Linked DNA regions of Saccharomyces cerevisiae S288C. Changing the gene in region 1 together with any one later gene gives a genetic interaction. Each region holds a gene or a part of one and is shown on either strand. Other genes may lie near its edges.

What was found. A genetic interaction does not mean that the proteins touch.
Region 2: mutations in ARV1 (region 1) and CNB1 together harm fitness more than expected from each alone (negative genetic interaction), as found in Saccharomyces cerevisiae (4 studies listed by BioGRID).

Annotation. Positions count from the first base shown.
Region 1 is NC_001144.5:620,994-628,731, reverse strand, and holds ARV1 (sterol homeostasis protein ARV1), read left to right. Parts: upstream 1-4,848; coding exon 4,849-5,814; downstream 5,815-7,738. Other genes in the region: E3 ubiquitin-protein ligase IRC20, read left to right, coding at 1-48; palmitoyltransferase ERF2, read right to left, coding at 535-1,614; CDD1 (cytidine deaminase), read left to right, coding at 1,802-2,230; methionine aminopeptidase MAP1, read left to right, coding at 2,401-3,564; putative signal sequence-binding GTPase GPN3, read right to left, coding at 3,711-4,529; CSC1 (Csc1p), read right to left, coding at 5,911-7,738. UniProt on the Saccharomyces cerevisiae protein: Mediator of sterol homeostasis involved in sterol uptake, trafficking and distribution into membranes. Also regulates the sphingolipid metabolism. Required for growth during anaerobiosis and sterol uptake.
Region 2 is NC_001143.9:81,006-86,178, forward strand, and holds CNB1 (calcineurin regulatory subunit B), read left to right. Parts: upstream 1-1,941; coding exon 1,942-1,993; intron 1,994-2,069; coding exon 2,070-2,545; downstream 2,546-5,173. Other genes in the region: DPH2 (2-(3-amino-3-carboxypropyl)histidine synthase), read left to right, coding at 30-1,634; HYM1 (Hym1p), read left to right, coding at 3,699-4,898.

The DNA.
Region 1 (7,738 bases):
GTCAGTAATGAACACTTATGGAACTGCTTTTTTCACGGTAGTGATTAGAGAAGTATGACTTTTAAACCAGACACTAATATATTAAAATATTTAATCTTTTGAATTTTTATATAAACGGTTGCCGTAATTACTATATATATATTCAATGGTAGGAAAAAAAGATGCTGCACGTTGTCTGACATCTGAAGAAGAGTGCTAATATGTAGCTTCAAAATTTTCGGAAGGCAAAAATAATGGTTGCTAAGAGATTCGAACTCTTGCATCTTACGATACCTGAGTATTCCTACAGTTAACTGCAGTCAAGATATTTTCTTGAATCAGGCGCCTTAGACCGCTCGGCCAAACAACCACTTATTTGTTGTAAAAGTTATACGAAAAGAACCTTTTAATGAATGTTTTTTTTAACATTCTAGCCAATTTCCAACGTTTATTTGCGTATACTCAACCTATACTATGGCGGAATTCACTCCTTTCAGTAACCTTTTTATATTTTACGTACTACTGTGTCGCTGAGTTCTTTATATCTATACTTCCTTATATTTTCTGTATTTTTTCAAAGCTGTGTGCTGGCGATAAATCCATAAATCTCCAATCTCCAGCTTCATGTGGCTTTCTGGCACTTACAAAGCTTGGGCCCCTTGGTTCTAACATCAAGTGACCCATATTTTTCAAAAAGGACCCCTTATTATATATGTTTTCCTCCTTGACCACACGATGGAATACAGGGTTTTTTTTCGATCCAATACCTTTCAAAAATTCCCTTGTTGTTTGCTGATTACCTGCCATAAATATGTGATAAGTAAACAGTATTGCCGGATACCATAAGGTTAGCCCTGCATAGCAAAGTAACAATATTGCAACGGGACAATCGCGAGGCCCCCCTGATTCCCGTGCAATATGGATGGCACAATTAGTTAATAATATGACGGACGAAAGTATTGCACCTAACAGGAATATTAAAAAGAACCGGTAGTTCCTTTTTCCTATGCAATTATTGACCCATATGCAATGGTGGTCATGAACCATTACGCAGACGTTACATGTGGAACAGTGAGAAGACCGAGGTGGTCTCCATATCCTACATGATGGACAATACTTGATAGTAATGTCTTTTGAAATTGAAGAATGTGTTGGTAGTGTTATCAAGTTGTAATATTCTTGCGGGATCTGATAATTATTTCTTAGTTGACTTAAATGAATATTTCTCGGAAGAACGCCAGGATCACTAGTGGCTGTTCTGATAAAGGATGCTAGCGTTATGACCCAAAAATAATAGAAGAAAATGACCAGCACTTTATAACCATTTTGGGTATGCCACAATTTGTGAGCCTCAAATATGGAGAAGAGAACCATGGGACATACAATAGCAAGGAGAACACCTAACCACAACGGTTTGGCGCCCTTTACTGTCCTGAACCTGCCACCAAGGAAGAATATATAATTCGAGACATTCGGTAACGATATATAACCTTTTCCATCGTTTATATCCTGATCACCCTCCAAGGTAACAAGCCATCGGAAGAACAACTTCGTCAATGAACCTTCTCCTGTATGCTCTTCCTTTGTTATTGAGGTGCTTTCCGATCTTGTCGACCTTCTAGAGACCAAGGCCATTATCTTCCCCGTTTCTCTTCTTGTTACCTTACGCTTTCTTTCCTTTACATTTTTATATTTGCAAACTGTAATCTTGATAAGGCGCTGCTCGCCAATTTCCGAGTAGTTTGACAAAATAAACACAAACTGTTTATGTACAAGAAACTAGGAAAACCAAACAGAGAATCTCAAGCAGAGAAATAAGGTAATGAAAGTAGGTGGCATAGAAGACAGACAACTGGAAGCCTTAAAAAGGGCGGCACTGAAGGCGTGTGAACTCTCCTATAGCCCCTATTCTCACTTCCGTGTCGGTTGTTCCATATTAACAAATAACGATGTTATCTTCACTGGTGCTAATGTCGAGAATGCAAGCTACAGTAATTGTATATGTGCAGAACGATCTGCTATGATACAAGTTCTAATGGCAGGCCATCGCTCAGGATGGAAATGCATGGTCATTTGTGGCGATTCTGAGGACCAGTGTGTTTCCCCTTGCGGCGTTTGCAGGCAGTTTATCAATGAATTTGTGGTCAAGGACTTTCCAATAGTCATGCTTAATTCCACAGGTTCTCGTTCTAAAGTCATGACAATGGGAGAACTGCTGCCCATGGCTTTTGGTCCATCTCATTTAAACTAGCAGCAATCTTTATTTGGCTGCTCCCCGAAAAGAAAGCGAAAATTTTTTACTTATTTTTTTTTTTTTTCATTTTTCATATAAAGAAGAAAAACTGATATTATTATTATTCATCCCAAGAACGCTATTGTGTATATTCCTAGCAAGAAAAAAATAAGCAAAAAAATTGTATAATGAGCACTGCAACTACAACAGTTACTACCTCCGATCAGGCTTCTCATCCTACCAAGATATATTGCTCCGGTTTGCAATGTGGTAGAGAAACTTCGTCCCAAATGAAATGCCCTGTTTGTCTAAAACAAGGCATCGTTTCCATTTTCTGCGACACAAGCTGTTATGAAAACAACTACAAAGCTCACAAAGCTTTGCACAATGCTAAGGACGGCTTGGAAGGTGCTTATGATCCTTTCCCAAAATTCAAATATTCTGGTAAAGTGAAGGCTTCATATCCACTTACCCCAAGAAGGTATGTCCCTGAAGATATTCCTAAACCGGACTGGGCCGCTAATGGGCTACCAGTCAGTGAACAAAGAAATGATAGACTTAACAACATCCCTATATACAAGAAAGATCAAATTAAGAAGATTAGAAAGGCATGTATGTTGGGTAGAGAAGTTCTTGATATTGCCGCTGCCCATGTCAGACCAGGCATCACTACAGATGAATTAGATGAAATCGTCCACAATGAAACAATTAAGAGAGGTGCCTACCCTTCCCCTCTTAATTATTACAACTTTCCTAAATCGCTTTGTACCTCTGTCAATGAAGTTATTTGTCACGGTGTGCCCGATAAAACTGTCTTGAAGGAAGGTGATATTGTCAATTTAGATGTTTCCTTATACTACCAAGGTTATCATGCAGACTTGAATGAGACATATTATGTCGGCGAAAACATTTCTAAGGAAGCTCTTAATACTACTGAGACCTCAAGAGAATGTTTGAAACTAGCCATTAAAATGTGTAAGCCAGGTACCACCTTCCAAGAGTTAGGTGATCATATTGAAAAACACGCTACCGAAAATAAGTGCAGTGTAGTAAGAACTTATTGTGGACATGGTGTTGGTGAATTTTTCCATTGTTCCCCAAATATTCCCCACTACGCCAAGAATAGAACACCTGGTGTTATGAAACCAGGTATGGTTTTCACCATCGAACCTATGATTAATGAAGGTACTTGGAAGGATATGACCTGGCCTGATGACTGGACTTCTACCACCCAAGACGGTAAACTGAGTGCTCAATTTGAACATACACTGTTGGTTACCGAACATGGTGTTGAAATCCTAACAGCCAGGAATAAGAAATCACCAGGTGGCCCAAGACAGAGAATTAAATAGATCTAGGTATTTTTATCTTATACATATAGAAACCAATAAAAAACTTGAACTTGTACTTTCCCGAGTCCGAATTGGTTATTATGAGAAGCTATTTTTTTTTTTTACCTCTTTTTATATGAATCAAGCGTACATAATTTTCTCTATAACTATTCTTCGACATCTATTTGGTCGTTAGGCTCTTTCTGTTCTTGTCCTTCTGCCCATTGTGTTATATCATCGACATACGATAATATGGTTTCTATACTGTCAGGATTATTAGATTCCAAAGGTAAAAATTGAACCATACCGAAATCATCGACGAGGTTGGCTATGCACTGGTTCAGTCTTAGAAATTTAGGGTTGGATGCTTGATTCATTCCTTCCGTTTCCATTAATAACATTGCATCGGGATTCAAAAATCTTTTCAGTTTTTTCTTATTGATGTCGCCTTTTATCAAGTCTAGTTTGCTCAACACATTGATATGGGGTAGTTCCAATAGAATCATCGCAGACATAGCAGATAGTGCACCGCTAAAAAATTTTGAGCTATCTATCACAAATGGCGCTTCCAAAAGATATGTGGCGCAAAGGTTGAAATTCAGTTGTTGAGTTAAATGGCGCACTATGTTCGGTAAGACAGGGATATGCGTGTAGAGTTCAATTTGACCGGGACAGTCAAAGATTAAATATTCATCGTTGAAATCCCCGATCTCTTCGTCAAGCCAGTCTAGATTTTTCAAAAGATATTCGAAGCAATATATTAGCGCACCATTGGGGCCCAAATCCATTTCTTCCATGACATCATCTAAGGAAATTAAATCTCTAATGTCAATAGTAAATTCATACTTGGTAGCTTCTGCGGCAGGGTCTAAATTTACAATATGAGCTCTTCGTCCTACAGTTTGCATATGTGATATAATGGAATTACAAAATGTGCTTTTCCCCGCACCTGCAGGTCCTAATACCATGACACCAACGCGAGACATTTTCCAATGCTGATTACTCTATTTGTACTTGTTAAGTTTTTTTCACGATCAGGATGACTTGCCAACCTCTTAATTATTGATCTTTCTTTTTTGATCTTTCACCTCATCATTTTAGATTTTTTGCAAAATTTTTCTTAGTATTTTTTCAGTTTAGGGACAGCGGGCCAAATTGAATAGCCCTATGTGAACAATTGATGATTCAGAAACATCAATGGCATAAATCAAGCTGAGAAATTCTTGTCATTGCATAGAAGGAAGGTTTGGTGCGTCAGTGAACGGATGAAGCGCATCAAAAAGTAGATATTAGCTGTGATAAACGATGATTTGCATAACGTGCATGCGGCCCGTAGATTCCCTTTATACAGTGTACTCGAATGACCACATTCAGCTGACAGATTGTCCATATTGCCAAGAGACAGTAGACAAATATGTTGAGATAGATAATGTCCTGTTATTCATTGATTTGCTTCTATTAAAAGCAGGTGCATATAGACACTTGGTATTCAATGCTTTGGAATTGCATCTCTCAAAATATCCGAAAAGAAAAGCGCTAAATGATTGCCAGTGTTTGCGTGACTATACGCAAGCTTTGTTATTTAACGTAAAGAACTGGTTTTGTAAATATGACCGGTTAAATCGCCTTTGGCTTCTACTATTATCATTCGAGATTTATTTAACTTGGGTTACTGAGGAGAGTAAATACATCTACTATTTGAACCGTAACAATAATGATGGTAAGCTCATCATGCTTTCAAAAAAATTACCAGAGAGCTTCAAATGGGACTCGGCAATCATGCGCAATACCATTACAAGTAAAGTGTTTACCTGGAGCCCACCAATACAATATCTTTACTTTGCAAGTTATTGTATTCTTGACGTTTCTTTATTCCACACCTTTACCCAGTATTTCATACTGAAAAAGTTGCATTGGAAGCACTATTCCGTTTCTTCAAAGGATGTCATATCATATACGATCTTATTATCGTACGGTGCCAAAATTTTTCCGATATTGATGTTGATATGGCCTTATGATACTCTAATTTCGATGAGTATCATTAAGTGGGTAGCTAATCTCTATATTATTGAATCGTTGAAGATTGTAACTAATCTTTCCTATTGGAATATCATAAAGATTTTTATAAGTGTGTCTTTATTACGATATTTCATGGTTAAGCCAATACTTATAGTTTTCGTGGCAAAGTTTAACTTTTCAGTTATTAAGAATTTAATACATCAGGAGTTTATACTACTACTACAGAAGTCAGGAACTTATTTATTGTTATAAGCAAATAAAAAAATATCCAGTATTACTTGTATCAAAAATCTTATTTTGGCATTTTCACAACAAAATATATAAATATAGAAATAGCACCTTGGGATTTCAATCCAACATCGGACCCTCTAATTCACTCACAGCGTAAGGGTATGCATACGACTCTTCCTCATTGGCAGAATTCACCGTAGAATTGTCTCTTTCGTACTCGCGAATTGAACTCAATGCGATATATTTTGACAACGGCAAATAGTTCTTCTCGAAATCATATAGGAAACATAATGTCACTACTGGAAGCGGGAAAAGGCAAGATGACAAAACCCATCCTCCTTCGAATCCTGCCAGTGTTCCTGTCATTGTTAATTGAAACAATAGCAATCCAACGATGATTCTTCTAAAAATTAATGGCCATACTTTTCCTGTAGAATGGGGCAAATGATCTGTGGCAAAAATCAATTGATATTTATAGACGTAAAACCCAATAATAAAGTACGCCAGCCCTGAAGTCAAAATTTTCGTGCTCATTACACTGTAGATCAACGTTATAATCAAAATCAGAATTGGCTGTGGTAATTGTAGTCCAAAGTTAAATATCGGTGGATTGTAAAGTTCATTCCGTTGCCTAGGTGTCTTAGCCTTGATTTTCACTAGAGGAAAGCCGATCAAACTACCAACTAATAACAACTTAAACGGGAACATACCAATACCTTGCAATATAATCAAATCGACATAGAATAAGGAGAACTCCTTCACAGATGTAGCAAGTTGATAAGCAATTTTGGTGGTATCGCTGAGGTACGCCCAGTAATTAGATGCTGTACCTGCCAATGTGAAAACTAAGAAAAGGTTGACAAAAATATAAAAGAAATTTTTTGAAACAAGTGAGATTTCCTCTTCGCTGTATGATACCAATCCTTGATAAGAAGTCAAATACTCGTAAAAATAGGGGATTCCAAAGTTAAGCAATGTGAAGAGATAGGTTGGTAATAGCCCCGTTACAATGTTAGCGGCCCACTGGTGATCTTTTAGTAGCTGCCCTACGCTTGGCCAGAATTTCGAAAGTGTTTTCAAATTTAGCAATGTGGCTAAGTATGATACAGGAATGACTAAAAACAAACTTGAAAGGCCTATAAATACGGTAGTAGAATAAACTTTTGTTAACCGGTCCTTTCTAGAAAGACAAACATGATCCCACTTGATATCGTGAGGTGCAGGAGCCAATCTGGTTATGAAGTAATGTACTCTAGGATCTAATACCGCCTGAGCTGCCATTTGCGCATTAGCAACAGAATCCATCGTAACGAATGCCGTAGGTGTTGCGGAGTAGTGTTGTTTCCTCGCTTCAATAATTTCAGCATCAATAAATTTTAATTGCTGCTCCAGGTACTCTATGGCATCTACTTCCTTCCCAAAGATACCACGATATCCAATTTTCATTTTTGGTCTCTCTCCAAGAGAAATTTGAGAATATAGTATAGTATCCTCGTCATTATTATTGCTTGATGGAACATTTTCTCCATGTGTAACTGCGCCTGATTGCTCGTTTCCCAATAAATGATAGTTCTCCGAATATGGTTGTCGAGTACGGAGCTCCCTTGGACATTCTGAATATTTTAATTCCAGGTTTTTGAGTATTTTCTTCCGACAATGAAATAGCTTGTTCAAAGGACCCCACTCTCGACAAATAGTGATTGATGAAACGGTGCCGATTTTTAATTGTTCAATTCTGGTCTTTAAGGCTTCCGAATCACGAAGCTCTATCGGGATGCCTGAGAGCCTTATCGTTCTATCAGTAATCGTATTTTGCTTCCCAAGATAAGCTTGCCTAGTACTTACGACGTGCTTTGTTTCCGCAACTGCCATTTTAATTGCTATGAAGGTGAAGAAATATGTGAAGAGAACATACATCCAGAGGTACACATTTGTACGTTCGGGA
Region 2 (5,173 bases), on another chromosome or scaffold:
GCGTTGAAAGATCGTGCAAAGGTTGAAAAATGGAAGTTGCACCGGCCTTATCGACTACTCAGTCGGACGTGGCGTTTCAGAAGGTGGAGACACATGAAATTGACAGGTCTTCATACTTGGGGCCATGTTATAATAGCGATGAGCTTATGCAACTTATCTCGGCTTATTACAATGTCGAGCCTCTCGTGGGTTATCTGGAACAGCACCCGGAGTACCAAAACGTGACCTTGCAGTTTCCTGACGATTTAATCAAGGACTCCTCGTTGATAGTAAGGCTGCTGCAATCGAAATTTCCCCATGGGAAGATAAAGTTTTGGGTTTTAGCTGACACAGCGTACAGTGCATGCTGTGTAGACGAGGTCGCTGCTGAACACGTACATGCAGAAGTCGTGGTACATTTTGGTGACGCATGTTTGAACGCCATCCAAAACTTGCCCGTGGTTTACTCATTCGGAACTCCATTTTTGGATTTGGCACTGGTGGTGGAGAACTTTCAGAGGGCATTCCCAGACTTATCCTCCAAAATTTGTTTGATGGCAAACGCACCCTTCTCTAAGCATTTGTCACAGCTGTACAATATTTTGAAGGGCGACCTGCACTACACAAATATCATATATTCCCAAGTGAACACCTCTGCGGTAGAAGAAAAATTCGTAACCATACTTGACACCTTTCACGTTCCCGAAGACGTAGACCAGGTGGGTGTGTTCGAAAAAAATAGCGTGCTGTTTGGTCAGCACGACAAAGCAGACAACATCTCGCCCGAGGACTATCATCTTTTCCATTTGACCACCCCACAGGATCCGAGATTACTGTATTTGTCTACTGTGTTTCAATCTGTTCATATTTTCGATCCGGCTTTACCTGGCATGGTAACGGGGCCATTTCCCTCTCTAATGAGGCGTTACAAGTACATGCATGTGGCAAGAACAGCGGGATGTATAGGTATTCTGGTCAACACGCTGTCGCTACGTAATACAAGAGAAACTATCAACGAGCTGGTCAAGCTTATCAAAACTCGTGAGAAAAAACACTATTTATTTGTTGTCGGAAAGCCAAATGTGGCCAAGCTAGCAAACTTTGAAGATATTGATATTTGGTGCATTCTCGGTTGTAGCCAAAGCGGTATCATCGTTGATCAATTCAACGAGTTTTACAAGCCCATTATTACACCTTATGAATTAAACTTGGCCTTGAGCGAAGAGGTCACATGGACCGGGAAATGGGTTGTGGACTTCAGAGACGCCATTGATGAAATCGAGCAGAATTTGGGCGGACAAGATACCATCTCTGCCAGCACAACTTCCGATGAACCGGAGTTTGATGTAGTTAGGGGAAGATATACTAGCACATCAAGACCACTGCGAGCGCTAACGCACCTGGAGTTAGAGGCGGCCGACGACGACGATTCCAAACAACTGACTACAAGACATACCGCCTCAGGTGCCGTCATTAAAGGTACTGTATCCACTTCAGCATCAGCACTGCAGAATCGTTCGTGGAAAGGTCTAGGAAGCGATTTCGACTCTACTGAGGTTGATAATACTGGAGCGGATATCGAAGAAGGTATTTCCGGTGTCGCACGTGGTTATGGATTTGATCGCGAAGACGCTATGAAAAAGGAAAACAAATGACTCTTATAATTTGTTTCCCTCGACTTCTCTATTTAAATCCAAGATTTTAACTAATAAACTATTTAATAATAAAACAATTAACTCTTTATATGGAAGCCTTGGAAATTAGCCGCCAAAATGGGATATACATTCCGTGCGAAGTGACCGCGTGGAAGGCCGGGTATCATCTTAAAAATCACTAGTTTCTTTTTTAGCGGAATGCAATAAAGGTGCTTTGTGCTGGTGTGGTTTACACGGAACATCTAGTAGCTAAAACTTGGTAACTCAATGGTGATCAGAATCCATAGAAGCATTTTTATTTCTTAAAATGGGTGCTGCTCCTTCCAAAATTGTGGATGGTCTTTTAGAAGATACAAATTGTATGTACACTTCGGAGTGAGGAAAAGAAAGAAAGGGGAAATTAACCGATTTTACTAACACTGACACTTTGAACAGTTGATAGAGATGAAATTGAAAGGTTAAGGAAGAGATTCATGAAATTAGATAGAGATAGCTCAGGGTCTATTGATAAAAATGAATTTATGAGCATTCCTGGCGTTTCGTCAAACCCTCTTGCTGGACGTATAATGGAGGTTTTCGATGCTGATAATAGTGGGGACGTGGATTTTCAAGAGTTCATCACAGGATTATCCATTTTCAGTGGGCGTGGGTCCAAGGACGAAAAGTTAAGATTCGCCTTCAAAATCTACGACATTGACAAGGACGGTTTCATATCCAATGGTGAGTTGTTCATCGTGTTGAAGATTATGGTAGGTTCTAATCTGGACGATGAACAGCTGCAACAGATAGTAGATAGGACGATAGTGGAAAACGATAGCGACGGCGACGGACGTTTAAGTTTCGAGGAGTTTAAGAATGCTATCGAAACCACAGAAGTGGCCAAGAGTCTGACATTGCAATACGATGTGTAAGACTAGGGGACACTTCATTCATTTATGGTATGCCAATATTTTTAAGAAAAGAAGAATAATACGCGATATTGTTTTTTAAGGAAGGAACGCACACTCGCCCAGTTAGAGTGCTGATGATATATACATATATATATGTATATGTAACAAACAATAAGAAAGCAATGATACAACATAGAGATGAGAGAGAGCATATATGTCAGCGACGAGATATACCAAGATGGAAGCTGATCTCATGTAATAACTGCGGGGTGTACTTTGATAATTTTTGGGATTCCATTGTTATTAATAGCTTTGATATCAGACATACAGAATACCAGAGATTTTCCTCAAAAATATGGCAATGCACAAAGGGGGATCAATAGTTATATAAATTAAGATTATTACTTCTTCTTTGTTTTATGTGTTGTTATTCACTATCCCACTGCATTATCAATCCTTACATATCAGCTTCCGTTAAACCCGATGACTATCTCTCAATCATCATACTATCTTCTTACACCGTATATGATAATTACCAGCAATACTAATGCTAGGAGACAGACCATCTTTGATTCCTATTCCAATAAAGTTAAACTGTGATATTGGTTTATTGGATAAGTTCATATCCTAAAACGTGTTGACAACACTTCGGGAGTTTCCAGTAAGTAAAATTTGTATGGAGGGTTGGCCGAGTGGTCTAAGGCGGCAGACTTAAGATCTGTTGGACGGTTGTCCGCGCGAGTTCGAACCTCGCATCCTTCAGTAATTTTTTTTTTTAATTTATTTTTGTGTTGCAAGCGTTGATCCTTTCCATTATGCAGCCATAAGAGGAGGCTGGATATGAATTATTTATTACCAATATAAGGAGCATGTACCGTTGATTTTGAAGAGCCAATTGCTCCAAATTTTGGATTTTGTGTTCGAAAAAGGGAAGATTGCTCCAAACGCAAATAAGGAGGAAACCCGCTGATTGCACTCTTGGAAAAATAAAAATAAAAAGTGGTCTCAGAATTGTTTCAAAAGTGGCACTGACACAATATTTACAGGCGTTGATAGCTTCTTGTTTTAACAATACGATTTAATCTCGGAGTAGTTAAGCCAAAGAATACGTGTTATCCGTAAGAGGCTTATTGCACGTAATCCCCAGTATAAATTATCCGCAAATCGAAGACAAATGTTTAAGAAATACAAAAATCAAGACTTGGACATGGCATTTTGGTGGAAGAAAAACCCCAAGACCCCTTCCGATTATGCCAGGTTGATCATCGAACAACTAAATAAATTCAGCTCACCCTCGCTGACTCAGGATAACAAACGAAAGGTACAAGAAGAGTGCACAAAATATCTAATTGGCACTAAACATTTTATTGTCGGTGATACGGATCCTCACCCAACTCCGGAAGCCATTGACGAGCTTTATACTGCCATGCATCGTGCCGACGTGTTCTATGAACTGCTACTTCATTTTGTGGATTTGGAATTCGAAGCAAGGAGAGAATGCATGCTTATATTCTCTATATGCCTTGGATACTCTAAGGATAATAAATTCGTCACAGTAGATTATTTAGTCTCGCAACCAAAGACCATATCTTTAATGTTGAGGACTGCGGAAGTTGCTCTACAACAAAAGGGTTGCCAAGATATCTTTTTAACGGTAGGGAATATGATTATTGAATGTATCAAATACGAACAACTTTGTAGGATTATATTAAAGGACCCTCAACTATGGAAATTCTTTGAGTTTGCGAAACTGGGTAATTTCGAAATCAGTACGGAATCTTTACAAATATTAAGTGCCGCATTTACTGCACATCCTAAATTAGTGTCTAAGGAATTCTTCAGTAATGAGATTAATATCATAAGATTCATTAAATGTATTAACAAGTTAATGGCTCATGGAAGCTACGTAACGAAAAGGCAGAGCACTAAACTGTTGGCCTCATTAATTGTGATAAGATCTAACAACGCGTTGATGAATATATATATCAACTCCCCAGAAAACTTAAAGCTCATAATGACTTTAATGACTGACAAATCTAAAAACTTACAACTTGAAGCTTTCAACGTATTCAAGGTGATGGTAGCAAACCCAAGGAAGTCAAAACCTGTTTTTGACATTCTTGTTAAAAACAGAGATAAACTATTGACGTATTTTAAAACTTTCGGTTTAGATTCTCAGGATTCTACTTTTCTTGATGAAAGAGAATTCATCGTTCAAGAAATTGATTCCTTGCCGCGTATAATTTCGTCCACAACAGAAGTTTCTAATAATAATGCATCCTCAAGTAACGTCGCCAGTATAACTTCTCCATCATCAGTAATGAACAATCAATCATCCATCTTAACACATTCAACTTCACCTGATTCAAGATAACTATAAAACTTGGTTCACTTTATAAAAAATGGAAAGTTCTCAGGCAGTGGGTCGTGACATGAATATTCAAAAGTAAAATTATATATAGGAAAGTGTTTATTTGCATAAAAAGGGAAAAATAGTTCAGACTTTTGTATTTTTACGTATTTATACAAAAAAAGGTTGGTACCGGAGGCTGAGGAAGCCAGTACAGTTGGATCCGGTACATGGAATTGAGCAATCAACCGTAAATATGAGCGCTTTCTCAAGATATTAAATTATTATAAAACAATTTA